Struthio camelus: one gene and its partners. The protein of the gene in region 1 interacts with the protein of each later gene in a pairwise test. Links are inferred from orthologs where the notes say so. Each region holds a gene or a part of one and is shown in the gene's direction. Other genes may lie near its edges.

The links.
Region 2: the proteins of GFAP (region 1) and CWF19L2 interact in binary tests that used the Homo sapiens proteins (3 or more experiments, as listed by UniProt). The link is inferred for Struthio camelus from reciprocal best matches to the Homo sapiens genes GFAP and CWF19L2.
Region 3: the proteins of GFAP (region 1) and ABI2 interact in binary tests that used the Homo sapiens proteins (3 or more experiments, as listed by UniProt). The link is inferred for Struthio camelus from reciprocal best matches to the Homo sapiens genes GFAP and ABI2.
Region 4: the proteins of GFAP (region 1) and SMARCB1 interact in binary tests that used the Homo sapiens proteins (3 or more experiments, as listed by UniProt). The link is inferred for Struthio camelus from reciprocal best matches to the Homo sapiens genes GFAP and SMARCB1.

Annotation. Positions count from the first base shown.
Region 1 is NC_090966.1:709,029-716,221, forward strand, and holds the start of GFAP (glial fibrillary acidic protein), read left to right. Parts: upstream 1-4,187; 5' UTR 4,188-4,206; coding exon 4,207-4,709; intron 4,710-6,415; coding exon 6,416-6,476; intron 6,477-7,048; coding exon 7,049-7,144; intron 7,145-7,193.
Region 2 is NC_090942.1:205,989,750-205,997,052, forward strand, and holds the start of CWF19L2 (CWF19-like protein 2), read left to right. Parts: upstream 1-4,291; 5' UTR 4,292-4,360; coding exon 4,361-4,444; intron 4,445-7,303.
Region 3 is NC_090947.1:7,860,971-7,868,532, forward strand, and holds the start of ABI2 (abl interactor 2), read left to right. Parts: upstream 1-4,556; 5' UTR 4,557-4,597; coding exon 4,598-4,714; intron 4,715-7,562. UniProt on the Homo sapiens protein: Regulator of actin cytoskeleton dynamics underlying cell motility and adhesion. Functions as a component of the WAVE complex, which activates actin nucleating machinery Arp2/3 to drive lamellipodia formation.
Region 4 is NC_090958.1:9,548,313-9,555,155, reverse strand, and holds the start of SMARCB1 (SWI/SNF-related matrix-associated actin-dependent regulator of chromatin subfamily B member 1), read left to right. Parts: upstream 1-3,822; 5' UTR 3,823-3,978; coding exon 3,979-4,071; intron 4,072-6,695; coding exon 6,696-6,807; intron 6,808-6,843. Other genes in the region: MMP11 (stromelysin-3), read left to right, coding at 1,226-1,483, 2,407-2,540.

The DNA of each region.
Region 1 (7,193 bases):
TGGCTCTCATCTTCCTCTCTGTTTCAATCCTCAGAACATTGTTCGGGCAGTCTTGGCCAGAAAGGCAGCAAGAGGAGTGTGAAAGAGCTAGCAGTGCTCAGCAGTGCCTCTGCTGCTCCCAAACCCCAGGCCATGAAGTTCTTATGCTGATTACCTGCAAAGTCCAGGACCCCTCCCTGTGGCCTGGCCCTCCCAGGGGCCCAAACTCAGGTGCCAAAATTTGCCCTTCTCTGAGACCACCCCCATCACATCCCTCCAGCTCCTTCCTTGAGGTGAGGGGACTGATCTTCCCCTTTTCCTCTGCTTCATACAAGGGAAGGAGTGCAGAGCCTTCAACCCTGAGCTTGTTCCCAGCCTTCTGCTGCCCCATGTCCAACCTGATCCCCCCTAAAACTGGCCAAACACCTCCCAGTTCCCATCCCTGGGGTCCTGGCGTTGTCCTGGATTACACGTACCTTCCCTCTGCTCAGCTCTGTATGTTTTTGTAGCAGATGGATTATTGCTGTTCCCTCTCAGCCCCTCTGTAATCTGCGCCGGGGTGTCGAGTGCTAACAGATGGGTGATGCTAAGAAATAACATGCTTTTAATAAATCTTTTAGTTTAAAACCAGAGGGGTGCGGGGAGACGTGTGGATGTTGCTTCTGGCCTCCTTGCCTCCGCCTCACGCAGGAAGCAATGGTTGGGTATCAGCTCCCACCTAAGCGGGCCCTGGACAGGCCTTTGCTCCCCTGAGAGCTGCCGCAGGGGGGATCTCGGCCCTGCCCAGCCCATCGTGGCTTCCCATCTTCACGTTGGTGGCTCCCTTAAGTGGCTTTTGCCCCTCTGTTGTGCCTTGGAAGGGACAGGTGGTTTGCTCCATGTCCTGTGGAGTGGGTGAGGGGAGACATAGGCCGCTTGCCACTATGCTTGATGGCTGCGGAGAGCTGTTCTGCACCACTTTCCCCCTGCAAAAACCCCCTCCTGCCATTCCTGTCTACCCATCCCTACTCTTGCCCTAGGGGCTCCCTTATCTCTAGCTCTGGCCAGCTGCCAACCCCAGCATCTCTGCCTGGGCACTGCGGCTCTCCCCTCTGCACCGTGGTGATTCCCTGCCCTTCTGTGCTACATTGGGTACCGCACTGGGGCCTGAAGCCATCAAGGACCTGCCTTGGGCTGCTCCAGTGGCCTGTGAACGGGGCAGCCCACTGTTAGCTGCTTTCCTCTCCTTCCAGCCCTGGCAGAGGACGAAATGACGCTGGATCCTATTTTTCTAGCCAGAGCTTGGTCCCTGGGTGCCACGATGCATCTGGGTCCCTGTGACCCGCGTTGAAGGCGACTTCCTCCCACAAAGCCTCGGAGCCGGCCAAACTGCCGAACGGGTGCAGGGAAGAGGGATGCAAGGTCTGAGCCGGGCTGGGGCGCTCAGCGCACTCCCCCGTGCCCTGGCCCCTGCGCTCCTGCCGCAAGCTGGCCCCGGGTGTGCGGTGGAGCTGCTTGCAAGCTACTCCCCTGGGGCTTGGGGGTGACCGGCTCCTCCTGACCTACTTCGCTTGCCCAGCTCTGGCGCGGAGAGCTGCCTTGCAGCAGTGGGTGCTCGCCTTTGTATTCTTGGAGGCTGGAAGCTTATAATTAAAACTTCCAGCTTTCTCCTCTTCATTTGTCTCATTAAGAGGAGGCTGGGGGTGGGGGGAGAGCCCAGATCTGCCTCCCCACAGCCGCTGGGAGTGACAGCTTTTTGCAAAAGGCGTCAATGCTTTGATCCTGGCTGCGTAGGAGCCAGGAGAAAATAAGTATCAGGGGAGATTAGCGGAGACTTCCTCAGTGCCCCGAAGATCCGGCGCCCGCCTTGCCTCCCTGCACCAAGCAGCCCTCCCTCCATGCTGGTGCGGTGGCGGCGAGAGCGAGGGCTGCAGGTTCCCCAGGCCGCATGTCCCTTTGGCTTCAGGACAGGGTGCTCTCGTGCTGAAATTCGGCTCGAGGTACCTAGGGACCCTGCTGGGTGGTTTTACGTCCATTAGAGCGTGAGACCCCAAGCTAGCCTCACGGATGAGGAGCTTTGATGGGGAGTGAGTTGCTGTGATTTAATTCCTGCTTCTGGTTCCCGAGGGCTGCAGCCCCCCTGCACAAGGTCTGGTGGCAGGACCCAGGCGTCCTGGCGTGCCAGTATGGGTGCTGGCCCCCGGGAGCATCCTGCATCCAGCCCCGCTCCTGTCCCCGCTGCAGCCTCTGCTGGGAAGCCGGCCACCAATGCTGGCTTCCCGATCTCAGCGCCGTCCCCTGCTCTGCCCTGCCAGGACCATGGGCTGCCAGGCTGGAAGGATGAGATTGTCCTCTCCGGCCACAGCCATGGGACATAGTCCCCAGGGACACGGCCACAGGACATAGCCCAGGACATGGCGGCAGCAGGCAGCCTGGGGCAGCCAGCCCATCCCTGGTGGCCAGGCCACGGCCCACCAGCAGCTCTCGGCACCAGTGTGGACAGGGAGCCTTTCCCGGCCATCGGCTGCCACCTAGCTGCCAGCCAGCGAGGCCTGTCCCCGTCACTGCAGCGTCCCCACGAGTGCACAAGAGACCCTGCTGTCCCCCATCAATGTGCCTGGGGTCAGCCACCCTCGGTGGCTCTGTCCCAGCCACCTCTCAGGGCTCCTGCTGGCCGCTGCTCCCCCTAAGCCACCATGCGTGTCCCCAAAGCCTCCTCGCCCCTTGCTCTGCTCCCCAATCCCCACCAGCCTGGAGGGGCCAGATACCGCCCAGGATGTCCCCCACCATGCTGCGACTCGGAGGGGACGTGGCTCCCGGTGGCCATGTGCCCATCGCCCCCCAAATCCTGCCCAGCAACCGCAAGCTGGGGAAAACCCCGGGATCCGGCCTCATTGTGCTGCCCCGAGTTTACCGGTGGTGAGCAGCTCTGCGTCCCCGCGCCAGCCTGGCATAAAGGCACCCTCATTGCTATGCCGGAGTGGTCGGGTCCCCTCGGCGCCCCTGTTCCCGGGCGCCGCTCGCTGCCCCACAGTGCACAAAGCCCCTTTCACACAACTCTGGCGCTCTCCACGCTGGGAAAGCCTCTGGCCCTCGGCCACGTGCCTGGGGGCCGGGAGGCGAGCCAGGGCTGTGGGGGCCCCAGCCCCTCCTTACGTTCCCGCAATTGGAAAAGGGGACAAATAACCCCGACTTGGTGCACAGATGAGCACCCTGCGGGGATGGGGCCGCCCTGTCGCCGGCGGTGCTGACAGATCCCCATGGTACCCGGGGCTTTGCCCTGGCCGTGCACACGCGTGTGCCCGCTCAGAGCAGTGTGATGGCGGAGGTGCTGGCGTCTCGGCATACCCCCCGCCCCAGGATGGTGGGTTTAACGAAGGGCTCCCCCGTTAGCCATCCTCGGGGCCTCGGGGCAGCAGAAGCAGGGATCCCAGCGGGCTGCCTGCTCTCTTGAAATCTCAAATTCTGCCTTTTTTTTTTTTTTTTTTTTTGCTAGGATAGGACATGAAGCCCCAAAGTTTCCCGTGCTCCCCCATTGCTGCACCGAGCTGGGAATGGGACCCAGGAGTCCTGGCCAGGGCTATGAGTTTGCGCTGCTCTTGCAGACCCGCTGGGGTGGAACCAGCTTTGGAGGGTTCCAATAGACACTTAATTAAAAGTCTATCTTAATTAGCTTCTTCTCCGCATGGCCAAACTTCCTTCAAACCTGCCTGAATGGGGCTGGCAGCCACGTATGTGCACGTGTGTGTATGCAGGGACAGGCATGCATGTACATAGCTGTGCATGCACATATGTGCGCACATGTACATGGAGGGAGAGACATGCATGCGCACAGCTGTGCGTGCACACGTGTGTGGGGGCACAGGCATGCATGTGCACAGCTGTATGAGCACATATGGCCGGCAGTTTCGTGGCAACTTTCGACCCCTGGGCACGGCTACACCTGAGCCCCTTGCAGCGGCACCCAGCTGCAGCGTGCACGTGGGCTTGCGGGGCCGTGGCACTGCTCTGCCTGCAGCACCCCGGGGGCTCCATCTGCCTGGCTCCCGCGGGTACCCGCAGAGCCCCAGTGGGGCCGGTGGAGCTGCTGGGCCGTGCCGCGGCGCTTGGGCAGGGTGCCAGCCTGCGTCCCTCCCCGCCAGGCACCACAAAGGCCGGGATTTGTGCTCGCCTCAGTGCCTGCTGGCCCCCCCGCCAGCCCCTCTGCATAAAACCCCCTGGCCGGGCCCCGCGCAGCCACCCCGCGCCATGGAGAGCCAGCGGCTGTCCTCCTACGGGCGCCGCTTCGGCCCCGCAGGCACCGTCGCCGCCCCGGCACCCCGGGCTGTCCCTGTGCGCTGGGGGCCCCCCGTCAGCTCCCCAGCCCGGCTCGCCACTGCCCGGGCCAGGAGCGTCCACCTTGGCCTCCGCTCCGGCTCCCGCCTGGGGCCAAGCAAGATGGACTTCTCGTTGGCTGACGCACTCAACTCGGAGTTCAGGGAGACGCGCACCAATGAGAAGGTGGAGATGATGGAGCTCAATGACCGCTTCGCCAGCTACATTGAGAAGGTCCGGCTCCTGGAGCAGCAGAACAAGGTGCTGGTGGTGGAGCTCAATCAGGCGCGGGACCAGGAGCCTTCGCGGCTGGCCGATGTCTACCAGGAGGAGCTGCGCGACCTGCGGCGCCATGTGGAGCAGCTCGCCACCGCCAAGGCCCGCCTGGAGATCGAGCGGGACAACCTTGCTGAGGACCTCGGTGGCCTCCGGCAAAAGTAAGGTGTTGCCCTGCTCGGAGTAGCCCTGGGGGGCAGGGTGGCCCCAGGCACAGGGGGGATGATGGGAACCAGGGGGGTGATGGGGACAAAGGTGGTCATCAAGATGAGGGTGGTGAGGGGATCAGGGTGGCCTTGGGGATGAGGGTAACCACTAGAACCAGGATTGTGATGGAGACCAGGGTTGTCCCAGGGACCAGGGCTGCCCCTAGGACTGAGATCAAGGTGGCCACCAGGATGAGTGTGTCCCTGGGGACCAGGGTGGGGATGGGGACCAGGGTGACCCTAAGGACCTGTGTGATAATGGGGACCAGGATGGCCCCAGGGAGTAGGGTGGTCACTGGGATGGGGATCAGGGTGACCACGGGGACCAGGGTGGTGATGGGGACCAGGATGACCCTGGGGACCATGGTGGTGATGGGAACCAGGCTGCCCCTGAGGAAGACCATGGTGTCCACCAAGGGATGTGGGATGAGCTGGGATTTTACGGGGCTCCGGGCACACACATGGAGGGGACACAGGGTGCAGTACGCAAGCTGGAGTACCCAGACACCTGGGTCCCATTGTGGGACACAGCGCTAGCCCACTGCAATGGGGCCAACCTCCAAGTCTGACTATTTCTAACTGAGCTGCATCGTGGGTGCTCGGCCCTATGTGTACACACAGGTGTGTCTGCTGGGTGCGGGTGTGCGTGCGGCTGGAAGCAGCACTGGTTTGGGTGTGTGCTAGCAGCTGAGGCTGGGGCCATGCATGCATGACCATGTCCATGTGTGCACAGCCATGCCTGTATCTCTCCATGCGTGTTTGTGTCCATGTCCAGGCATGCATGTCCATCCATGCACAGCTGTGCCCATGCCCGTGCATGTGTGTCTGTGTCCATGCATGCATGTCCATGTCAGTGTCTGTGCATGCATGGCTGTGTCCATGTCTGTGCATGCATGTCTGTGCATCCACGGCTGTGTCCACGCATGCATGTCCGTGTCCATGCGTGTCTGTGCATGTGTGTCTGTGCACGCATGGCCGTGTCCATGTCCGTGCATGCGTGGCGGTGGCTATGGCCAGGCTTGGCTCCAGGAAATGCGAGGCAGCGGGGGGGAGCGGGGGGGGGGGTCTGAAACCTCCCTGAAAACCCAAGGGGAAGTTCTGCGGGACACATGCACCCTGCAGCAGCCTCTGGGGTCCCTGGGCAAGGCCATGCATGCCTGGGGACCCCCGTGTAAGGGCCATGTGTGACACGGTGAGCTGGGTCTGCGCAGGTGGTGCGGCACGGCCGAGGCCGGGCCCTCGTGCCCGCCGGTGTGAGCGGGAGGATGTGAGGCTGGTGCGTGTCCAGCCTGATGGGGGGTGGGGGGGGGGGGGACCCAGGGACATGCATGTGGCATGGGGGGCCATGGGGAACACGTGCCCGGGGAGGGGTGGCGGGGAGTGTGGGGCCGTGCACATGCACTGACACAGGTGCCGGGGCCAGCGTTGGCGGCGGGGCTGGCCGAGGGGCCAAGGTGCACGTGGCCACCATGACTGGTGAGTGACGGTGCCTAACGAGTAACAGTACATAACACGTAGCAATGTGTAGCCAGTAACAGTGCCTAATGAGCACCGGTGCAAAGTGAGTACCAGTGCCTAACGAGCAGCAGCACCTAATGAGCGATGGTGCCTAATGAGCGAGGCTGTGTGAGGAGTAACGGTGGGTCTCCCTGCGGGTGCAGGCTCCAGGACGAGGTGACCCTGCGGCTGGAGGCCGAGAGCACCCTGGCTGCCTACAGGCAGGTGAGGGCAGGGGCCGAATCCTGCCCCCCAGCCCCGGGGAGCGGGGCAGGGGCGAGGGGTGGGCTGGGACAGACTGCATGGGGCAGGGACCAGCTGGGACATTCAGGATGGGCAGGGGACAGGCAGAGATGGGCAGGGGACGGTCTGGGACGCGCAGAGACAAGCAGGACTGGGCTGGGGAGGGCAGGGGACAGGCAGGGCAAGAGGCAAGGGTGGACAGGGATGGCCTGGGACACTCAGGGACAGGCAGGGATGGTCTGGGGTGCTCAGGCATGGACTGGGAAGGGCAGGGATGGTCTGTGACACTTGGGGACAGGCAGGGACAGGCAAGGCTAGAGGCAGGGAGGGCAGGGACAGCCTGGGACACTCGGGGATGGGCCGGGACAGGCAGGGATGGTCCGTGACACTTGGGAACAGGCAGGACTGGGCAGGAGGGAGCCAGTAGGTGCTGGGCTGGGCTGGGGCAGGGCCATTGCTGGGACAGGCAGGATCAGGCCAGGATCCTCAGGGCCAGCTCAGCAGGGACAGGTGAGGCATCACACTGTCTCTCCTCTTCCTCCCTCCTGCGGCAGGACGTCGACGCTGCCGCATTGGCTCGCCTGGACCTGGAGCGCAGGGTCGGCTCCCTGCAGGAGGAGATCACCTTCCTGAGGAAGGTCCACGATGAGGTAGTGCCATGGCCAGGCAGCATGCGGGGCCAGGGGTGGAGCGGGGACA
Region 2 (7,303 bases), on another chromosome or scaffold:
GCACAGCAGCGGCTTTCTTCAGTGTGTGTTTCCTATTCTGATAAAATCTTTTGTTTTCGACTCACAAAAAGAAAAAAAAGCATGCAAAAGCCCCACAAGAAACGTGCTGAACAAATGATCGTTTCGCATGTGTAACGGTACCATTTGCACTTCCTCACAAAACATTTATTAGTCAGTAGTTGTCACTAGAGAATTTCCCAAAGAACATCTCTTGCTATTACCGTCATGCACCTGGGGTGGGGAGAGACAAAATGGATGTATTTCTAAACCTCTTCCCCCTGCTCTTTCTGACCATAGTTGGAGAGAGAACTTGTTTTCAAAGTAGCTGAGCAAATTAACAAAATAGCAGTTGCTTGGGAGCAGACAACTCATGTTTTGCTATTGAATATTGAACAATGGGTGAAATCATTCTTCGATCCCTTACACTCCCCTCATTCATCTTCCCTGTAAAGTGGGTCTCTTTTCCAAGGCAGGCTGTCAGTATCATCAATGTCACAGCGGCTCTTTTGTTGCTGCTGGGACCGCTCTTTTTGATGGACAGTAGAAATTTGTCTGGTTTTTCAATTCAGGCCCTCATTGCACAATTCAGGCAAGAGAAACCAATCACCTGGATGTTGCTACTGCATTGATTTTTGGGCAAGGCATTCTGTCATTTTGTGGCACAGTTGCTTTCAATCTCTGCTGAGGAAACTTAGTAACATTTCTATAAAAGAAAAATACTTCCTTCCATAAAAAAATTTCCATTTGTCCATACTTTTTTCATTCTTTGTTCTTTTCCATAATTTCTCAAGGGACTGCGTTTTCTGTTTCTTAACTGAGCCATTGAAAATGTCCATCCCAGTCTAAGTGATCCCTCAGAACCTAATATAAATGACTACGCAGTAGAAACGGCAAGTGAAAACTGGGTGGTTTGAAAAATGAACAGAATGAGAACTGACTGAAAGTCAGTCCATCCTGACTTATGTGAACCTGCCCTCCATCCGCTCCCCAGCATCCTGTTAGATATTGTGCTTCAGAATGGTGTTAAAATCCAGATAAGAACCTCCCCCTAGCAGTAAGCTGGATTTATCCATTACCTTGCAGCTTCACCGCTGCGGCAAAAAAAGTTTCGTGCTCTCAAAGAACTCCTTTCCCGAGTGAAACACTGCCCTTTGCTTAAAGGAAACTGTGCAGAATCGCACTGAGTGGAGAGGATTTTTTCCAGCCTTTTTCATATAAAAATAAAACGTCAAATGGAGCCCTAAAGGCAAGCAGTGAAAGTTAGCAGCATGGAGGTTTATAACACAGGTCCGCTGGAGAATCGCTAGCTTGACCGTGCAGCTTATTTGAGGGAAAGTGTAAAATGTGTTGTTACATGGGAAATAGTAATTCACTCTGCAAGGTCAGTGCCTCTCTGTGGGGGTTCAGGAAAGAGCAGTAACTCTGGAACATTATTGTTCTATTAGTATGTTTAATTTTGGCAGTGTGAATAAGATGACTGAGCAGAGGTGTCCTGCTGACCATTACAAGCTGTATACCAAAGACTTGTTCTCTAGGTTCACTGCAGATTTCTGAGCATGTGAGCAAGTCTCAGAAATACTAATATGTTAAAATAAATGAGACTGAAGTTTCATTTTACTCTGCTTCCTCTGAGAAAACCCTTTTCTTGGATGAGGAGAGGAAATGAGGTAAAATTGTCATCCCTTTCCTAACTGTTGACCCCATACATTAAAGTCATCTCTCAAAAATCACAAGATGGCAGAATGATTCTATTTTAAAAATAGCTTTTGAATTTTAATTGCTTTTCAATTTTTGCCCTTCTAGAGTGCATTTGTATCATTGTTTCTCCTCTAAAATCATGAATATTGGAAACTTGAATTGAAATGAAAATTTACAGTATTACCTTATTACATGATGCAGAGGGTTATGAATATCAAGAATAATACTGAATATTGCAAAAGCTTACACACTGTTTCAAGCTCTCTTCTTTGTCTGTAACTTGAGGTTGTGGAAAACACATTTCCTGTTCTGACTGCAGCTGCTGGTAGAAGAAGCTATTGTCCACAGCAGTTGCAAACCACACTCGTGTCATAGTTACTGGCCTTTCTCTTCTCATGCAGTTCTTCCAAACACTTCTTAAATTGTTTCAGTCAGAACTGGTTGGTTTGGCTCACGGACTAACAATTTGCTCTTTAGCTTAAATATAAGCCCATGAAGCCAATATACCTGACTGCGCATGAAGAGGGTTAGGGAGTACGCACCTGAACTGCTGGCTGCCTGGAGGAAGTGGTAAAATCTGGGAGGGAAAAGACCCAGTGTATCAGTAAAGAGCATACATCACGATGAGCACAGGCTTTCCTTTCTGGGCAAGACCTGCGCTGTTCTTGCTTCTCCTCTCTCAGCCACAGTTGAGAGTCTTTTGCTGTATAAAGCTAAGGAATGAGCACAGCGTTTGTCAAAGCTGCTGGAATGTCCCTTGTATCCGCCCACTTACTTTGTTAATTGCTTCCTAAAGGGGGCTGATGTGCTACTTTTTCATGCAATGGCTATTAAGCTCTATCAGTTATGATTCTCTGCCTAGTGGTGATCTACGACAGGTTTTTCTTCAGAAGATGCTGCTAATTGTCATAGCATAAAGTGAACAAAGATGCAAATATGATTTACACATTGAATACCATCATGGAGATGATTATTCAGTCAGCGTTACCACTTTTAAAACATACTATCCAATGCAAATAGCTAATGAATTACCCCAACATTTTGCTCAGACTTTAACCCAAATAATGTTACTATTATTTGGCAACTGTGATTACGTTTGGTGGCAGACACACAGTAATGATTTGATCTTGTCCCAGAGAAATTGTGTGTCAGTTAAATACTTGCTTCACCTGAGATTTAGCAGCCCCTGTCATATACTATTGGCCAACTGCAACTTGTATGTACTTGAACACATTTTTTAAAGTTGCGCTTCTCCTGTCCAGACAGGTATTGAGCATTGGCAACCTGCCAGCTATAGAAGCCATATGTTAGCCATATGGAAGCCCCAAACTGGCTGCAAATGGAAGAGAAAGTGGCTGGAAGATAGTTCTGAAGACGGATCGTAGCAACGGGGAGCATCAGGCGCTATGTGGAGTCTGGGGGAGTCTGTTGAGCCACATCTTTCCCTTGCACAGTTCTCCTTAATCTGGGCTCCAGATGAGAAGTCCGAGGCTCAGGTAGAGTCCTTTTGGGCAGCAGCAGCACCTAAGGCTGGAATTCGGCCTTCCCATACCAATACTCTGTATTCATGGCCCTGTGAGTCAAGCGCCCACTAAGCTGTGTGTGCCATGACATGACATATTTGCTGTGACATTGACCTGGCAGGCTGTGGAACGTCTCCTAGAAGTTGGTGTGTGTGTGTGTGTGTGTGTGTGTGTGTGTGTGTGTGTGTGTGTGTGTGTGTGTACGTCTGTAGGTTTGAGTATGAGGTCTGGAGCAGGGCTGCGGGCCTCGGGCACTCACATGTCCCGGCACCAGCAACTGGGGACAGCGGGGATCCTGGGGGCAGCTCCTGGAAAGGCTGAGTGTCTACGGGCAGCTGCTGGAGGGATCCACATCGTATGTTTATGTATATATATGAGCTTTCCACTAATAGGCTTTCATTCTGATGAGCTGGTGAGTGGAACAGCATGAGGCCATCAGCGCTGCTTGTTTGCGCGAGTGCTGTTGTCCGTCGGCGTTCACCTCTGTGGCCACGTTCATATACGTTCATATATTGTATATATTCATATATATGCACGTGCTGTATGCACGCTAATTGGGAATAGGTGCTCAGCCCAGGCTGCACCTGGGCACAGGGGGGTGCGGCAGCCCCTCTCTCTCTCGGGCTGCCGGATGTGGCAGCTCCGAACGGAACTGCCCTTTTCTCGCAGGGGGAAAATGGCGGTTTGCCCTAGCAGCAGGGCAGCACCGAGACAGCCGCAGGCCCTTACACAGCCCTAACCCTGCCCTACGGAAACCTTTCGCGCGGTGCCAGCAACGCGCCTGGCCCGCGGGCGGGCTGCCCGCTTCCTGCGGCGCTTTCGCTTAGAAACCCTTTTTTTATTCTTTTTTTTTTTCCCGGATCATCCGTGCTGCCACGCCCCTCGCCCCGCCCCCGCCGCAGCGCCCCGCCCCAGTTCCACTGCCCCTCGCCCCGCCCCCGCCGCAGCGCCCCGCCCCAGTTCCACTGCCCCATCGCCCCGCCCCCGCCTCAGCGCCCCGCCCCTCGCCCCGGAATCCCCGCCCCTCTCCCCGCCCCAACCCCAGTGCACCGCCCCTCGCCCGCGCAGCTCCCAGCCGTTGTTTACGACAGCGCCGTGCGTGCGGTGAAGCTGCCCGGCGGCTGCTTTACGGCCGGGCCATGGCGTCGGAGCTGGAGGGCGAGGCGCGGGTGGCGGCGCGCAAGGAGCAGAGGCGGCGGGAACGGGAGGCGCTGCTGGCACAGGTGGGACCCCCGGCCTCTCCCCCCTTGCCGGGCAGAGCCTCTCCTCCCTCCGGGCAGCTGTGCCGTGGCGTACCCGCGGCGAGGGGAGGCCTCGGCCGGCGGCCTCCTTCTGCCCGGCCCCGAGGGCGGCCCTGCCCGCGTCCGGGCCCGGTCACGGCGGCCGGGGGCTCCGGGGGGAGAGCTCGAGCCCCTTCTCCCCTAGGGAGAGCCTTGTGCTGTCTGGCCAAAAAGGGGGGCTGGACCGCATCACCGGCAGTGACGAAAAGCTTTTCATTGGCAGCGGCCTCAGTTTATGTGTTTTGCCATTTACAGTGGTATTGATCCGTTCGGTATTTCACTTATCGTGTATGCCAATTCTTACATTTAAAGGCAATGTTTATAAGAAAATTAGGCAAGTCAGTGAACAGCAGCAACTTTGCCAGAACACTTTCATTTCCTCTTTGAAATCAAAGAAGTTCATGAGTATAAGAATAGTAAAGGAGCGTTTTGCATGACGTCTGGAGCCTATGGAAAGCTCTGTGTAAAAAGTTAACTTGGAATACCTTGGGTAACAGATTGCACTGAATATCCCTGTTCCTCTCGATGGCTTTCTTAATAAATAATGTTGAAATGCAGCTCTTCAGAGAAAACTCTATTGCTTGGTGCCATGATGCATTGAACTGCCCTGTCCTTCTCATTTTATAGAAAGTCCCGTTCACATCCCACTTTTACAAGATCAGATTGCGCTGTATAATGTTTATTTTAAGATTTGTTGAAACCAAGTAGTTGCTGTTCTTAATCATGCTTAGGAATACTTGAGAGCTAGCCAGAAAACAGAGCTTGTTGTACTTGGCACTATACAAATACAAGGTAGTATAACTTCAGAGAGTTTATATAGACAGAATAGCCACCAAGTGAAGCAACAGATATAACACCAGCTTGATGACTTCCTAGGGAAATGTATGTGCTTATAATTTATTTTTTCTTCAGAAGGTAATATAATGGGTAGGTAACAACTTGGACAGAAATGGGAGAGCCTGTTTTCGTGGAGCCAAGATATTAACTGATTGGTTACATCTTGCTGTAGCGTGAGCCAAGAGTTGGAAGTCTCCCTCTCATAGATGTTTTTGTCAAGTTGCTGCTACTATGAGAGCTATGTTAGATTTTATTTGAAGCCTGCTCATATGCTATCTTTGATACTTGTGCTGTAAGCTGCTGATTCTTGGTATGCATGTAGAGTGCATCCAAGTAGAGTGAATGATAAAGTAGTAAATGTCATGTTTGTTCCGTTGCATGATTTATTTTGAAGTTTAAGGACTAGGAGATAACTACATAGAAAGAAAAGTGAAGAAAAGAGTAAGAGGAGAACTGTTAAGGAAAAAGTCTAAAGTTGTGGTGACGGACTTTCAAGAGAAGGAAGACTAAAGTAAGCAGCAAACAAATCTTACTGGACAATACTGTTTTCAGAAAAAAAAGGAATTGGAAAGTGGCCTGAATATCCCAAGCGGCCTACAGGGTAGCGATGTTCTTCCTCAAGGTAAAGTCAGAGAGAAGACTAGAAGTAATATGTTGTGTGGGTATCTCCCTTGCACAGTTAGGGATCTAGGAGCGTTCTAGTGGAATATAGTAGGCGATAGGATTTCCCTTAAGTAACTTATTTGTTGAGTGGGATGTAATTACACTGATTCTGTGCTGTAGGAAGGGTGCATTACAACCTTGAATCTTTTCCGCCTTTTGACAAGCAGTTAAAGGAAATTCCTTTGACTTGGTAATAGTAAATAGTACCATCCTGTGAAAGTTTTACTTTTCATTTTGTTTTGCATTTTTCGCTACATTTAAGTTGTTACTAGGACTCCTGCTTTGCTCAGTTCAACCTCTTGGGTCTTCAGAAAATACTTTTAACTGGGAATGTTATGTAGGCTGCCATTTTCCTATCTCACATTTTCTTCCCACTTGCTGCTGCTTGTACTGCAAGCTCTCTGGGACAATTTTAAAAACCTTTTACTCATTTTACCTCTCATTTTAAAAACCTTTTACTACTACAGTAGCAGTAGTTTATTAAATAACCATATTCCTTCTTTTTATTTCCTTCAACATACGTCAGCAGTTTAATATGAAATAAAGTTCTTCTGTGAAGATGTTTGCAAATTTTTGGTGTAATTTCCCTTCCCGAATACCTGTGGGTGATTTCACTTCTTTTGTTCGTATCTGTAAAATACTGTTAATTTTGACTCATAGATACAAAAACATCACAAAAGTGTTTAATGTTATAGTAACGGGATTGTGATATTAATTATGCTGCAATCTCTGAAAAAGCTCATTTGCAGGTAGCTTTAACCTGTCATCATGCCCGTTTAAGTTCAGGGAGACACAGTAAAGCTCAGGAATTGGTTTTGGTTGCAGTAGTGTTGGAGAAATGCTACAGCAATGAAATAAAGCAGCTGTCATAGAGGAAAAGGTTGAAGTGGCTGATGTGAACGCTTAGTCGTCCAGAGCATGTGAAGTAAGAGGTGGTGAAGGTGGTTTTGCCAGGGTTTGAGTTGGTACTAGAAAGCACAATATCTTGAGCGCACTGGCTACAGTTCCACTGTTAGGATGTCTCGAAGTCCTTGATGATACTGTAGCCTTGTAGGTCCTAACTGTCTGTTCCACCCATTCTTATAGGTTTGGATGCTGTTCTTCAGCTTTGTTGAAGACTATTAGAAAAAACATGTTCTGAGGTTTTAGGATGAAACTAAATCTAAATCCTTGCCATCAGAAAAAGAAGGACAAAGCGGAAAACAGACAAACCAAAAACCTAACCTCTTCTTGACAGCACTCCCTGAAGTTTTATGTAGGAAAAAATTGCAAATGGGAAATTGTTTTTTTTTGTTTGTTTGC
Region 3 (7,562 bases), on another chromosome or scaffold:
TCGGGGGGTTTCAGTCTGTTTTACAGTGAAGACTGGAGGCTGAGTGTTTAAGACGCCTGAGGAGCCTGACACCATTTGTCGCAAGTGTTGGATGTATAGGAGGTGCGTTTTGTGCCGTGCCTTGAGGGCACCCCTGACACTAGGGAATAACCTTGGGAGTTAAATGCATCTCACTCTGCTATTAGCTTCAAGTGCTTTGGATTATTAGACTAGCAAAGATCTGCCATCCAGCCAGAGGTGTATGCAGGCATTATCTGGAGCGGGCAGGATGGCTCAGCAATGTCTTTGCTGGGAGAGTGGAGTTACATAAGCTACAAACTATTTTCTTCAATCCCCCGATTTCTCCTCCCACCCCCATGCCCCCTGTAAATGTTTCCTGATGGCTGAGTAAGAGGGCCTGGGTCTATGCATATGGTCAGTGTGCGTGACCATATGTTCAGCGTCAGTGTCCAGCTGTTCTTTGTCCTTTGCGCAGCTGTAAATTTGTTAGGCTCCATGTGATGCAGCAAGCATGGGGATTTTCAGCTTTTCTTTCCACTTTTTACAAAATGTGAGAAGTTTTTTGTTAAGGGCAAAAGTCTCAGAAATGCGAACCTCTTAAAACTAGAGCAGAGCTATTTACACAAGAGTACAGAAAACCTGCTACAGTATGCCAGCGATCTGACCTGGTCATCTGTCTAATGGGATGTTAGCTCACATAACCCAGATGTAGTGACTGTGCTGTTCAGGTTTCCGTATAGGAAAGAAAATGGAAGAGGCTTGTAAATGCATGCGTTCATTGTGATGTCTCACTGTGGTGCCAAAAATGTGCGATGGCCTTTGAGCGACTCCATTACCACTTTTCTCTAATTAAAAATTGGTTATTCAAACTGTGGGACACGCACAAGGTGCCCAGCTGTGAGATTGATTGCACACGATGAAACAATTTACTCGTCTCTGCAAGTTTTTGTGAGCAGTCGCTCCCTTGGGTGACTGGCAGAGGTAAAACATAATGTGTGGGGGGGAACTCAGCAGCATACTGGTCTCCCTGTGCTTTCGGGCTCCACCTCCAGTTGAGTGTCTCCCACTAGGTGCTTACCTTTCTATTGTATGGTGATTGCACAGTATGTTTAGGAGGAAAATGCATTTGCTTCCCAGCCTTAAAGCTATTGTGCTAAGGAGGAAAATGTTGCACAAAAGCATTAAAAAGAAAACAACTTGGAAAAGTCAAAGTGTGTAATCGTGCAACTAAGGCTGGGGGAGTTAAAAAGCTTAAAATTACTTTAGCACATCACTTCACTTGACAGATGGGAACTCATTTATGTAAATTTAGGGAAGTGGTAGTTGGATTCAGTTGGTCTAATTTAAACACTATTTCCAATTATTTTTTGTACGTGTAGAGAGGATTATAGGATGGTCATTGCATTGACAGCAGGGCTCTTCATATATAAATTTAAATCAATCAAAGACTACTCTGGTAAAAAAAAAAAAAAAAAAAAAAAGTGAACATGCTGCGATAGCAAGCACCTAATTATGGAGGCAGGGTAGACCAGCTACTGTGGTGAACAGGGGCGTGCGCACATATCTCAGATGGTCCGTTTCATTATACCCTAAAAATCACTGGCAGGGCCGCTGAGAGGTCAAGAGGCGCCTGACCCATGGACGGGAGCTCCCTGTGAAAACGTCTGCTGACGCGGAGCGTGGAGCTGGCGGCAGATGGGCCCTTGCAGGTTTCCACGGAATGCAGGCCCTGGAGACACCCAAAAGCGCAGAGAGATGACACAATTAACAGTTCCCCCTCCCTGCAACCTGGTGCTACTAATTTGAGTTAAAACACATAACAGCCTCTTTGGAAAATCTTCCCCTTAACATCTTGACAGCTTTCTCCTTTTGCCAAGAGAAGGAGCAGGTTTACAACCGTGGGGAGGTGCCACATGACAGCTTGACTTGACACCTGAGAAGTAAATGAACGAGGGAAGGGAAGCCTCAGCTTGCTTCCAGCCTGGCACAAATGCAGTGCCCTGGGAACGTGGGTGCGAGTAACTACCGGAGCCACAGCAGGGCCAGGTGCGACCCAGGGGAGTCCAACCTGAAGCAAGCGTGAGGAGGGAGCACGAGGCCCGGTACCTCAGTGTGAAAGCGTTACTCATTGGCAGGAGGCCCAAGGGAAGGCTGAGGCCTGGCAACGGTGGACTCTTGGAGGCGTGGGACGAGGCTCGGAGCTCCACACCGTACAGCAGCACCTTGCGGGTTGATCTCGGCTGACTTTTCTCCCCTGAGCCTCTGCAGCAACGGGTTGGTTCAGCTCTCTCAAAAGGTGGGTAGCAATCACTAGAGGAACTGAGAGTTTATTCTTTGATTACAAGATGATCAACATTTTTGGAGGTGTAACTCATGTTTTTCAAACCTTGAAGGAGAGGGTACCAAGAACAAGACTACACAGCACTCAGTTCATCAGTCCATATAATTTTAGGGCAGCGAGCACCAGAATCCCCTGCGGAGAGCACTGGGAGGCCTAACACCACAGCAGCGCAGCTGCCTGAAGCATGCACGCTGTTGAGGAATGACTCCCCCCCCCACCCCCAAGTGCATGTCATGGCACAGGGTCCCTGTCAGGGTGTTTTGTGATCCCAAAATCTCTCTGTGAAATTAGACTACTACAGCTGCAAAATATGAATGTGTCTCGGCACAACTGCCTAAAGAAAAATTGAAACACACAATTAAGTAGCTGAAGTTGTAAATTTTAACCCACAGGAGAAAAAATGAGAGAAAAATGCTTTGCACATGAGATTTTCAAAGCAGTGTTAACGAACGCTGAGCCTGACTCATCCTTCACATGGGAGAACCTTTGCAAGCTAAGAGGAAGATGTCTTCAGGCAGACATCCCTCAGGGCAGGGATTTCTATCTCGTTTCTCTTTTAAGGGAAGAAACTTAAAGGGCTGGCCCCAAAGACTGCATGTTTGTTGACTGACCCCACCAAGTGTTTGGGATCTATCTGTAAGTCTAGAAATCCCCTGGAGGATAGATGGATGCCTCTGGGCCAGCGTTCAATGCAGAATAACCCTTCCCACAATGCCAGGTTGGTGCACTAGCCCTGGATCTTCTCTACTTGGTGTCTACCAAGTGTCATGCTATCATGTCAAAGTGAGGGATGTCATATAGCCCAGGGCTGCCCTGCAGTGGCAGCAGGGGCTCTGTGGAACCTCATGGGAGCATGAGATGAGTAACCACAGCTGCTAATTCATTTCCAAGAGGGAAATGACCTCCCTTGAGAAAGCTGGGAGGCTTTAGCTGAGGGTGCTGATCCCTTCCTATGTAGGAGAAAGGTTGCTGTTAGGTGCTTGCTGAGAGAATTCAGTAGGGCATTCAACTCTTCAACATTGTTCTAAGGGTAGGCATTTTCATCACAGTTTTAGAGATACTGAGGGACTTGCCTAGGACATAAAGGAAGTCAGTGTTAAAGCCAGGAACTGACCAAACAGACCTCCTAACTCATGACTTCAGCACTCTGCTTTAGCCATGGCTGTCCTTTCTCTCTGTTTCAGCTGACCTTGGATTATACACTTTCCTCTGTTAAAGTTGAAAAGCTGACTACTTGGAGGCTGAGAATTTACCCTTCCTCTTGCCCCTGTACAATAGCTGCTTTTCACATGGAATCTGCACAAAAGAAACATTTTGTTCTTCCTCTGCTGATCAGAAGAACTGAGCAGCAGTTACGTTAAAAGCATAAGGGTCTGACCCTAGCACACATTGTATTCAAAAACAAAGCTTCTCTTGATATCAGTGGATGTGGAATTAGACCTAGGCTCTGGAAGAGTGCTGCTAGCAAGTTGCTGTTAAGTAAATTAATGCAAAATGATAAAAAAGGCTAAGGCTTCATAAAATGAAAATGCAGATTAGAAGCGCTTAGCAAACAAATGCTATTTTTAAGGGTCCCCAAGTCACAAACTTGAGGGGAGAAAGTTCCAGGCCAGTCTATTTCAGCATATTCCTGATCTGAAGCACCTCAGTTGCCTCATTAACCCCACGCTGCCGAAGTCCGTGAGTGAAACCAGCACGTGTTTTTTTTTTTTCAGGTCGTGCCGACCCTGGCCAACAGCTGCGCCCACCCCGGCGGGGGGGTGACACAAACCCAGGCCCTCGTCTTCTACCTCCAGCCGGCTGTGAGCGCTTCGCACCCGTCGAGGCGAGGACGGAGACGCCCCGGCCCAACGGTCGCCCGAGCCCAACGGTCGCCGCGCGCCGCGTTCTTCCCCCCCCCTCCCTCCCCCCCCCAGCCCCTTGGCGCCCTCGCTTCTCGTTCCCCCCGCCGTCGCGTCCCCCGCGGCACGACGGGGGAAGGGGTTTCCCGGTGCACCCCCGCGCCTCCCGGATGTCGCCCGGCGGGGCCCGGAAGTGGGCTCGAGTGGGCGGGCGGGGGGAGGGGGAGAGGGGAGGGGGCGGGCGCATGCGCAGGAGGCGCCGCCCAGCCGCGCCCCGCCCCCGCGGCGCGGTGGGGGTCTCGCGCGCTGCCTGCCCGCGGCGCGAGGCCGGGCCCGGGCGGCGGGTAGCGGGACGGGCGGGCGGCAGCGGGACGGGCGGGCGGGCGGAGGGGAGGGGAGGGGAGAGGATGTGAAGATGGCGGAGCTGCAGATGCTGCTGGAGGAGGAGATCCCGGGGGGGCGCCGGGCCCTGTTCGACAGCTACACGAACCTCGAGCGGGTGGCCGAGTACTGCGAGACCAACTACATCCAGGTGCGGCGGGGCGGGCCGGGCCGGGCGCAGCCTAACGGTCGCCGCGCGCAGCCTAACGGTCGCCGCGCGGGCGGCGAGGCGCTGTGAGGGGAGAGGGGCGGGCGTTGGGGCAGCCCCCCGCTTGGCAGGGTGGCGGCGGCCCTCACCGCCGTTTGTCGGGGGCCGCCGCAGCTCCCCGGGGGGGCGGCGGGGTCGAGCCGTCGTCCCGTGTCCCCCCCCCCCCCCCCCGGCGATGCTGGCGGCGGGCGGGTGGCACCGGCTGCCGCTGCTGCCGCCCGAGGAGGGGGAAGGCGGGTTCGCCTCCAGAATGGGCTACCCCGGCGTGACACGGCGTTTAAACGTTTCGTTGGTTTCTAAATTAAAGTCCTTCCACTTCGTGAGCGTGCTGCTGGATGTTTATTTCAGATTTTTTCCCTCTCCCGTTCCCTTCCCACCTTTCCCTCTCCTTTGGTGACAGCAGCGACATGACGTGATAAACCGAGGGGATATTCGACCCCTTTAAATTTAGTATTTGCGCTTGTTAGTCTACAGCACGCTGACATAATTTTTAGTTGGGATCTGCCTGTCGGTTCATATGTTTCCCTTTGCAAGCAGGGCTGCGGTATTCAAACGGGTGGGCAGCTGCCAAGTGATGAGTGCAGGATGAAAGCTTGGTACAGTAGGAAAGATACTGAACTAGGGGCAGAGAGACTGAGCAGAAGTTGTTACTGCAGCGTATGATTTTGCAGTGACCCCCGAGAGGTAGGGTTGGTGGGAGGACTCTTTGCTGGGAAGAGAAACCAGGTTTAGTCTGTTTACTTGGATAGCGGTACCGAGGCCAAATTAAGAGAGTTCCCCCTGAAAACCCCGTCAAACAAAACCCCAAAACGATAACAAAATTAGCGGAAGTTAGCTCCTAAGAACGGCCTGGATGCATAGAGAAGAAAGTAGGGGGACGTAGATTTGTGGTGTCAGTGCTGAAAGATGCGCACAGGTTTCCAGTTTTATTTTTGTTTTTAGTCCCCTAAGTGGAAAGTGCTTGTGTGTTTCCAAAGGGCAAGTAGGGATAAGAGCTGTGATTAGATTATTTTATCGGTGAAGAAGGAAAAGACTATTTAACCAGTGACAAGGGACTAGGTAAAATGTCACAGTAAAGAAGCTCAAACTGTTTCTTATAAATTGGTGCATAACCATCCTTCTTTCAGAGAGAGAGGATTTTGCATGTGTTAGGTCACTTAGAAAACGTGTTAGTTACAGTGAAATTGCATACGTATACTTTATTATGTAAGTAGTAACATTCCATATGTTGAATGAACGTCACTTGCATTTGTAAAGAAAAATATGTTAAAATATTTTATTACTGCTGTAATCTGACATGTATGTTTTAAAATTTATGCTTTTTTAAAAAATGGGAAACTGATTTTTCTGGAAAAAGAGACAGGAGTCTTGGAAGGCTGAAACTGGTAGGAAGAGGGAGATATGAGTGGTTTTTTTTTTTTTTTGTTCTCTCTTTCTTTGACCTTCTTGAGCGTTCTTCCTATAAGCAGAGGATTATAAAATCCATATCCAGCAGCTCCACTTGTATTGTTTTAATAGATACCACAGAGGAGGACAGTGCTGTGCTGTTTTGTGCAGATACAAAACAGAAAAAAAAATGGTTCTTGCCCCAGACAGCGTACAATCTAAGAATAGCCTAAAATAATAGGATACAGACAGATGGTGAGTAAAGATGAATGAGACACTATTGGTAAGCCTGATGGATTCTGGCCACCACGCAGCAGGACCCTGACTGTTGCCAGTTCATCCAAACATCATGACGATGGAGAGCTTTCAAGGGGGGCTAGAAGGAAAGAACAAAACTGCGTTATGAGCGTCGGCTGTGAAGTGCAGTGTGGGTCACAGTATGAAAATGGGGGTGGGGGGTGGAGGTGGAGGTGGGGGGTGGAGGTCCCCAGCCAACTGGAGATAGGTTTTGGGCCTTTTGGTATTGACTGAGAAACCACAGTGAGGGGTTATTCTTGAGAAGAGTTCCAACTTGAAGGCCTTCTGGATTTAGTAGACCCGAGTGTCCTTGTAACAAATCTACCAGGGAACCCTCCCCACACTCGTGGTGTCTCTTACCAAAATTGCATAAACTCTCGATACACAAAGCTGTCTTTTTTTTTTTCCTCTTAAAAAATGGAAAAAGGTAAATGAGTATAATTAACAGCATTGCTAGTTTTACCTCTAAGAGTACTTATTATTCCACAATTATGTCCAAATTGCGTCCAGAAAAGTAGCCTTGCGTTTTGTGCTGAAGATGGATGGACTTGTGATTGCATGCAACTGTGTGGAGAGTAATCTCCCCAAAAGTCATGTAGCGAGGAGGGATTAATTCTACTGCAATCTTGCAGTGTTTCATTGTTGACGGAAGTTTTTTGTCATGGATATTCTTGAGATCTCTTAGAGGAGGCTCAGAACATGACAGATCTGAACTTGATCTGTTGAATGGTAGGCAGTACAGTGATTGGGGCATTGAAGTCCTATCACATTGACCTGTATTTGTCGGTAGAAAAGCTGCTCCCTTTTTCTATACCGGTTGGTGCTTTGAGGTTTTTGTGGTTTTACTTTTAAGTACAGAAATTGCTGCAAAAGTCAGTAGTGGCATAGGTCAGTCTAATAAAGAATTGGAAGTATAGTGCAAAGGTGAATGTCATTTTTCCCCTTTAGCAGTATCGTAGCATCTTCAGAATAATCAAGCGTGTAATCTCTTACATATGGGAATTGCTAGTTCATAGCAGTAGAGCTGCGATTGCAGCTCGTTTGACCTGTTCATATGAAATGAAAAGTCCATTCTTTGAAGTCTTGGCAGTGTTTGATTAAGCAAATT
Region 4 (6,843 bases), on another chromosome or scaffold:
CATCTCCAGCCACTGCAGGGGTTAAAAACCAATCGCTCATGAAACAGCCAAACTTCCTCCTAGCCATTTCTGAAGCCCAAGACCAGCAACAATCCCTGTTTCAGCTTCACTGTTTTCTTTAATGCTCTTTCCCAGTGCAAATTTAACAGAGAGGATGCAGGATTACATAGCTACCTGGCTGCCCTGTGTGTGCATGCCCCATCTGTGCACTGTGAGATCAAGTACTGGAAAACGCACCAAGCAGCTCTGCAGGCAGCGTTATTGCATAAGCAGATTACCTAGCACCTGACCTGCAGACAAGGGTTTACAGTGCTAAAATTGGCAGGCTCCTACCACGAGTTAAAATGAGATAAAGAAAAAGTATTACATGCTGCAGGGTAATTATAGAGATTCCCATTTTAACCTGAACTGGAAATATTATCAGTTTGGCAACCTCTTGCTGGTTTATGTAGCTCGCTCCTTCAGAGCCACATGCCCCCCTTATGCCTGTGCATGCTCACATATGTTCTCCTCTAAGAGCAGGGCTTGGAGGGTAAGTACAGGTCCCTCCCACTCTACCCTGTGCACAGATTTGGCATACAAGCAATATGCCCCCTGTCCAGTCAGAGGATGACCCATTTTTCTTCTTTCCTCCCACCCAACAGCACCAGGCTTCACAGCATAGGTGTCAAAGGAATCAACGTTCACCCTGTCAATCTCTACAGCTTTGTAAATTGTTTTATCCAACAATGGGTTTTGATCCTCCTTCGGCATAACCAGAGCAAACTCAAAGCTCAGGGCTTTGATCCACTGCCCAAACGCCTACTTGAAAACTACAACCAGACCCAGCTGACTGGAGCAGCTTGAGAGAAATACGCCCTTCCACATGCGTGCAGGGCTCTCCACAGTGATAAGCCTATGAGAAAACAGGCTGGGCAGCTGGATAGCTCAAATACAAAGCCAAATCGTTTATTACAACTTCCATAAATAGAAAAAAAAGACAGCTGTGAAAGCAGTCTTCCTCATCCTACCCTCTGGGCTGGAGAGAGGTGGGAATTCAGCTCCTTGCGCTCCTAGGCTTCAGGTGCCTGTCAGTGACAGTGTTTGTGACAGTGATGGGATTTCTCCTCTCTCCTTTGCCTGGGAGCTCTGCCAAGGCACCGCTCCCAGTTGCACAGCTCACTGCTGAGTTATCAGATACTAAAGAGTTTCTGAGCTTTGTCTCCCTTTTCTGCCTTCTCGCCAGACTCTCGGTACTGGATTTATGAAGGTGAAAGACGGGTTTCTGGCCCTACCCCTATTGCGGAGCTGGGCCTCCCTGCTTCCCCTGTCCAGGCAGCTTTGGTGTGGGGGGCTGAGAAGAACAAGATCTACATCTTCAGCGGAGGCAACTACTGGCGCTTCAACCCTCATACCCGTCAAGTGGACAACATCTACCCTCGGACCATGGCTGACTGGCGTGGCGTCCCTCAGGAGACTGATGCTGCTTTCCAAGATGAGTTTGGTCAGTGCCAGAAGGGACAAGGCCTGCTCTGGGGTGGTCTTTCAGGCTGACCTCGCTTCCCAGCTGGAAGAACTGGGCAGATTTAGATGCTTAATAATAATGGACATTTTCCAGCCATTGCACATGATATACAGTGTATGGAGAGCAAGGCAGCTCCCTCCAGTGGGGAGGGAACTGAGGCTTCTCTCACTGAAGTAGCAAGCCTTGTAATTATTAATTGCAAAAATTAGTTAACAGCTATGCATCTGATAGAGAGAATTCAAACTTCTCACAAAGAAATATTCATGGAGTCTTGCCCAGCTGCTACCACTTCCCACAGAGGAAGAGATGAGATGTCACCAGAACCGCTGCCCACATTTCAGCCTAGGTAGCTGTCCTGAATGAGCAGGCTGCTTCCAGTATTAGCTAGTCCTCCCAGAGGTGTCCCATGCAGTGCCACAGATACACTGGGTGCTTGGGATGACGGCTGTGCAACTCCCTCTCTCCCAAAGGATGTGGTGGAATAACTCACTGGTGCTTCCAGTAATGACCTAAAATCCCAGAGAAATTTCCCTACGGTAACAGATACTCTTTAGCAGGTCTTCACAAACTCCCTTCCATCGGTCCTGTTCAGATCCTAAACTCCCTCTGCCCTTCCAGGGCTAGGCTACTACACTGGCACAGCATATTTAAAATCACCCAATATGTAAAATAAAATCCATCCTGTTTGCTCTTCCATCAAAACTAAAGCCATGTGAAAGAACAGTGCAAGTCACAAATCTGGAAAAGGCTGAAGATGCAGCTAGATTCATTTCACTTGAATCCAGGCTCTCTTTTAGTACTCCACATCCCATGTGCTGTGGTGCATCAGCAAAACAAAATGCTAGGAAAGAGCTGAGCTGTGTGGGCCTTGTCTTTCCTAACCCTTTATCTCCCATCTACAGGTTTTGCCTATTTCCTGAGAGGCCAAGATTACTGGAAATTTGACCCAGTCCAGGTGAAAGTGCTGGAGGGTTACCCACGCCAGATCAGCCAGGACTTCTTCAGCTGCACACCTTCCTCCAACTCCTTCCGATGAAGAGGGGGATGCTCACGTCCTCCACATTTCCCTCTCATCTCCTTTATCTCCAGCAGCCACACAGACACAGGGTTCTCGCTGCCACTCCTGGCTTCCTTTAAGGCTCAGCATCTGATACAACTGATGCCTGTCACAAGTGACAAAGGTTGCTCCTCTCCAGTTCCAGCAGCCTCCAAAATAAAGTGTCTGGCACATTCTCTACAAACAGAGCAGCCACTAAACTGCTAAAGTGGCCAAGCTCTTCCAACAATGGCATCCCAAAAGCCTTTGAGCAAGCCTGAAATGGGATCAGGCTTTCCTAATTAACCTGGACCCTATCATGTTAAACTGATCTGGTGGTATTTCCTATGTTTACATTGCTCACAGTAGCATCCCATTTGCTGTTCCAGACATTGGCCTCAGAGGAAGGATTCCACTGAGATGCCTTCCTCACCCTTAGCCAGGGAGTTTTACGGACACTGACTGCCTATGGAGAAATTCAGACGTGTAGCCATGTTGCCAGGGTCACTTCACCACAGCTGCAATGGTGAATACCAATACCCTGTCACAGCTCTACTCTTGGTTTTATGTTGTATCACTAGTATGCGTTAGAATTTTATACTGTTTTGTAAATAGACAATGTGCCTCCTTCCTTCCAAGACGCTAGGTTTCAGTGCTGGTCACTGCCCTATTGCTCCGTATGTTCTTTTTAAGTTAGGTTCCTGGTATTAGGTTGCTCATTACCGCACTGATGGGTCTCGTCCCACTCACTATTTCCAGCAGACAGGTCCATCCGGACACCATTCCGACAATGCACAAGCCTCAGTTCAGCTCTTTGCACATGCTACACAGCAGTATGGGGAGGAAAGAAAAAAAAAAAAAAAAGGGAAAGGGTCTCTTCCTTTCAAACTCGCGACCCACTCACGCGCCTCACCGCCCCCTCCTCCCTGGGGGACGAAAGGAAGACAGCCGTTCAGCTCCGCGCCGCCCGGGGGCCGAGGACGGCGCGGGGAAGCCCCCGGCCCGGCCGCTCCGCGCTTGCACGACGCGCACGACCCCCGCGATATATACTGTGTATATATTTGTGTACTGTGCTGTACCAATAAACCGGCCTCCTGCCCAAGCGCCGCCTGCCTCGCCCTGCCTCGCCACCGGCTCCCGCGGCGGAGCGTTACCTCAACGCGCGACCGTTAACGGCTGCCGCCGCCGCCCCACCCCCTCCTCAGGGACCGCCCTCCCCTCGCGGTGAGGCGGCAACGGCCGCGCGCGGCCTCTTTCGCCGCGCGCGGCGCCTTTAAGGCCCGGCCGGCGGGGGCGGGGCGCCCCGGCGCATGCGCGAGGCGGCGCTCGGACTAGGCCGCGGCGCTGCTCGTCGTTGCCGCCGCCGCTGCCGCCGGCTCTCGCGCTCGCCCCGCTCAGGACCGCGGCGCTGCCGCCGCCGCCCCGCGCCGCCGCCACGATGATGATGATGGCGCTGAGCAAGACCTTCGGGCAGAAGCCCGTCAAGTTCCAGCTGGAGGAGGACGGCGAGTTCTACATGATCGGCTCCGAGGTGCGGCGGGACGCGCGGCCCCGCGCACAATGGCCCGGGCGGGGCAGGGCGGGACTCGGCCCTGGGGGGGGCGGGGGGATGTCAGGGGAGGTATAGGGGTGGGTTGGGGGGATGGTCGGGGGGTGGGGGGCGCCGGGCTCGGTGGAGGCCCGGGGGGCCCAGGGGGAAGTTATGGAGGTGGCCGGACTCGGGGGGGGGGTTGTGGGGAGCTGGGGGGGGCTGAGCTCGGAGGGGCCGCTCTGGGGAGCTATAGGGGTCCGGAGCTCGGGGGGGGGGTTGGGTTTGGAGAGGGAGGTGGGCTGTAGGAATCTATAGGGGGTCCCCGGCTGGGGGGAGTGGGGAGCCGTGGGGGAGTCCTGAGCTCAGGGGGAGTCATGGGGGGGCTGGGCTGTGGAGAGTCTGTAGAGAGCTATGGGGGGCTGGGCTGGGGGGAGCTATGGGGGATGGGCTGGGGGGGGTCTAGGCTCAGGGCTGGGGGGAGCTATGGGGGATGGGCTGGGGGGGTCTAGGCTCAGGGCTGGGGGGAGCTATGGGGGATGGGCTGAGGGGCTGCGGGGAGCTATGGAGGGTGGGCTCAGGGGTCTGGGCTCAGGGCTGGGGGGAGCTATGGAGGGTGGGCTCAGGGGTCTGGGCTCAGGGCTGGGGGGAGCTATGGAGGGTGGGCTCAGGGGTCTGGGCTCAGGGCTGGGGGGAGCTATGGAGGGTGGGCTCAGGGGTCTGGGCTGGGGGGCTGCGAGGAGCTATGGAGGGTGGGCTCAGGGGGTCTGGGCTCAGGGCTGGGGGGAGCTATGGAGGGTGGGCTCAGGGGTCTGGGCTGGGGGGCTGTGAGGAGCTATGGAGGGTGGGCTCAGGGGTCTGGGCTCAGGGCTGGGGGGAGCTATGGGGTCTGGGCTGGGGGGCACTATGGAGGGTGGGCTCAGGGGGCTGGGCTGGGGGGAGGGAGCATGGCAGGGCTGGGCTCAGAGTAGGGCAGGGGCTATGGGGTGCCTGCTCGCACCTGGGGGGAAGTGACATGAGGGCTCCCGGAGGGGGAAGTCTGTGCCATGGGAGCTCGTGGTGAGGCTCGCGCAGGAGAGGCCTAGGAGTCTCCCCTTGCACCCCGGGAGGGGATCCTGCCCAGCGTGGTGCTGCCAGCCCTGCAGGTCCTCTCCGCTGCGCGCGCTGGCGGCTGTTGCGCGGGCAGCAGTTTGGGCTCTCAGCGGTCGAGCTGGGGCATCTCACCTTTGCTGGGGTCAGCGCTCCCAGCAAGGGCGGCTCTCACAAGTCACACGTGTCTGTGTACATCACGGAGTATAGAGGCTGGTTCCTCTGTGGGTCACAGCCTTGGGCCCCAGTATTATGTCCTGCTCCCCTCTGCTTGAGAGTTGCTGAGCTTTATGGCCTGATGCTCTAACTTGTGACATTTTTGTAGCGTGCTTGTTCGAACATTTGGGATTATTTCAGATGCTCTGAGGTGATTTAAGTCAACATCTAGGCCTTTATGCTTAGTAATAACAACAGCATCAGCCAGTGCAGCCTCTTCAGCCTTGTGTAGAATTTCAGCACCCCAGTGTATTTGCAGAAATGGTATTCTCTCGTGGTGAGAGGCTGCTTCTTGAAGGCTGGACTTAGTGAAGCAAGAAGCAGAGAAATGATTACAGTTGGAAAAGAACAGGAAAAGATGTAGGACAAGAAATCTTGGATAACTTAAATTGTCAACTGTACATGTTGAGCAGGGACTCAAGATCACTCACTCTCTTGAGAGCGTGTGAAATGTTTCCTAGAAGAACTGTAACTGCAGTCAGCAAATCTGCGAGTTTGCAATACCAGATGTGTGCAAGGGGAAAAGAGAGTTGCCTTTTTATGTACAAGCTAATTTCTGTCTGTTGATGAGTCCTGTAGAGAAACAGATAAGATTAACAATTATCTGAAATTAGATCTTAGGACCAAAACGAGTCTTGAAAAACAAACCTTGTTGTGTGGCAGTCCGCAAGTATATTGCCAGTCTAAAATTTTAGTTTTGTAGTCTAGAAATAGTACTTTAGCAGATCTTGGTGTAGCTTTCAGTGTGGGTGTGAATCTTGCACCGAGGGAAAATGGAACTGCTTTACAGATGCCAAGTAAATTTGAGAGAGGATTGTTGTTAGTGTTCATGTTCTATATGTTCAAAGAATTTTAAATAAAACACAAGGCAAGTCTCTGGGCTTTGCTATATCCAAGTGATATCTGGATGGCACAGAGGTTCAAAGTAAAAATAATATTGTTGGACAGCTAGGTATCTGGTTTGATGTAATTTCTAATGAGCATTGTTCATTGGAACAGCAACTGGAGTAGAGGAAACATTAGACTGTTCAAAAATACATGAAAATGAATGGGTTTTCCTATTAAATGGATTATTGTCGATGGATGAGAGTTTTTTCTTATCAGACTAGTGAAATAAATGCTGATAAAAGCTTTTTCTGTATTGCTGCAAAAATTGGGCTATATGCTATATGATGAGCCTTTTGGCAAAAAACCAAAACAAATACATCTTCTCTAGAGGTCCCAGTTGTCATTACCAAGTCCTGAATTTGCTTCGGGTTCTGCTAAATATCTTTCTAGACGGAACGTATTTCCAGGCCGTGTCTCCCCATTCCTCCTTGTAGGTGGGGAACTATCTGCGTATGTTCCGAGGTTCCCTGTACAAGAGATATCCCTCACTGTGGAGGCGACTAGCCACAGTGGAAGAGAGGAAGAAGATAGTGGCATCTTCACACGGTAAGAAGATGAGTAAACATTCCCAGTACTGAAGTC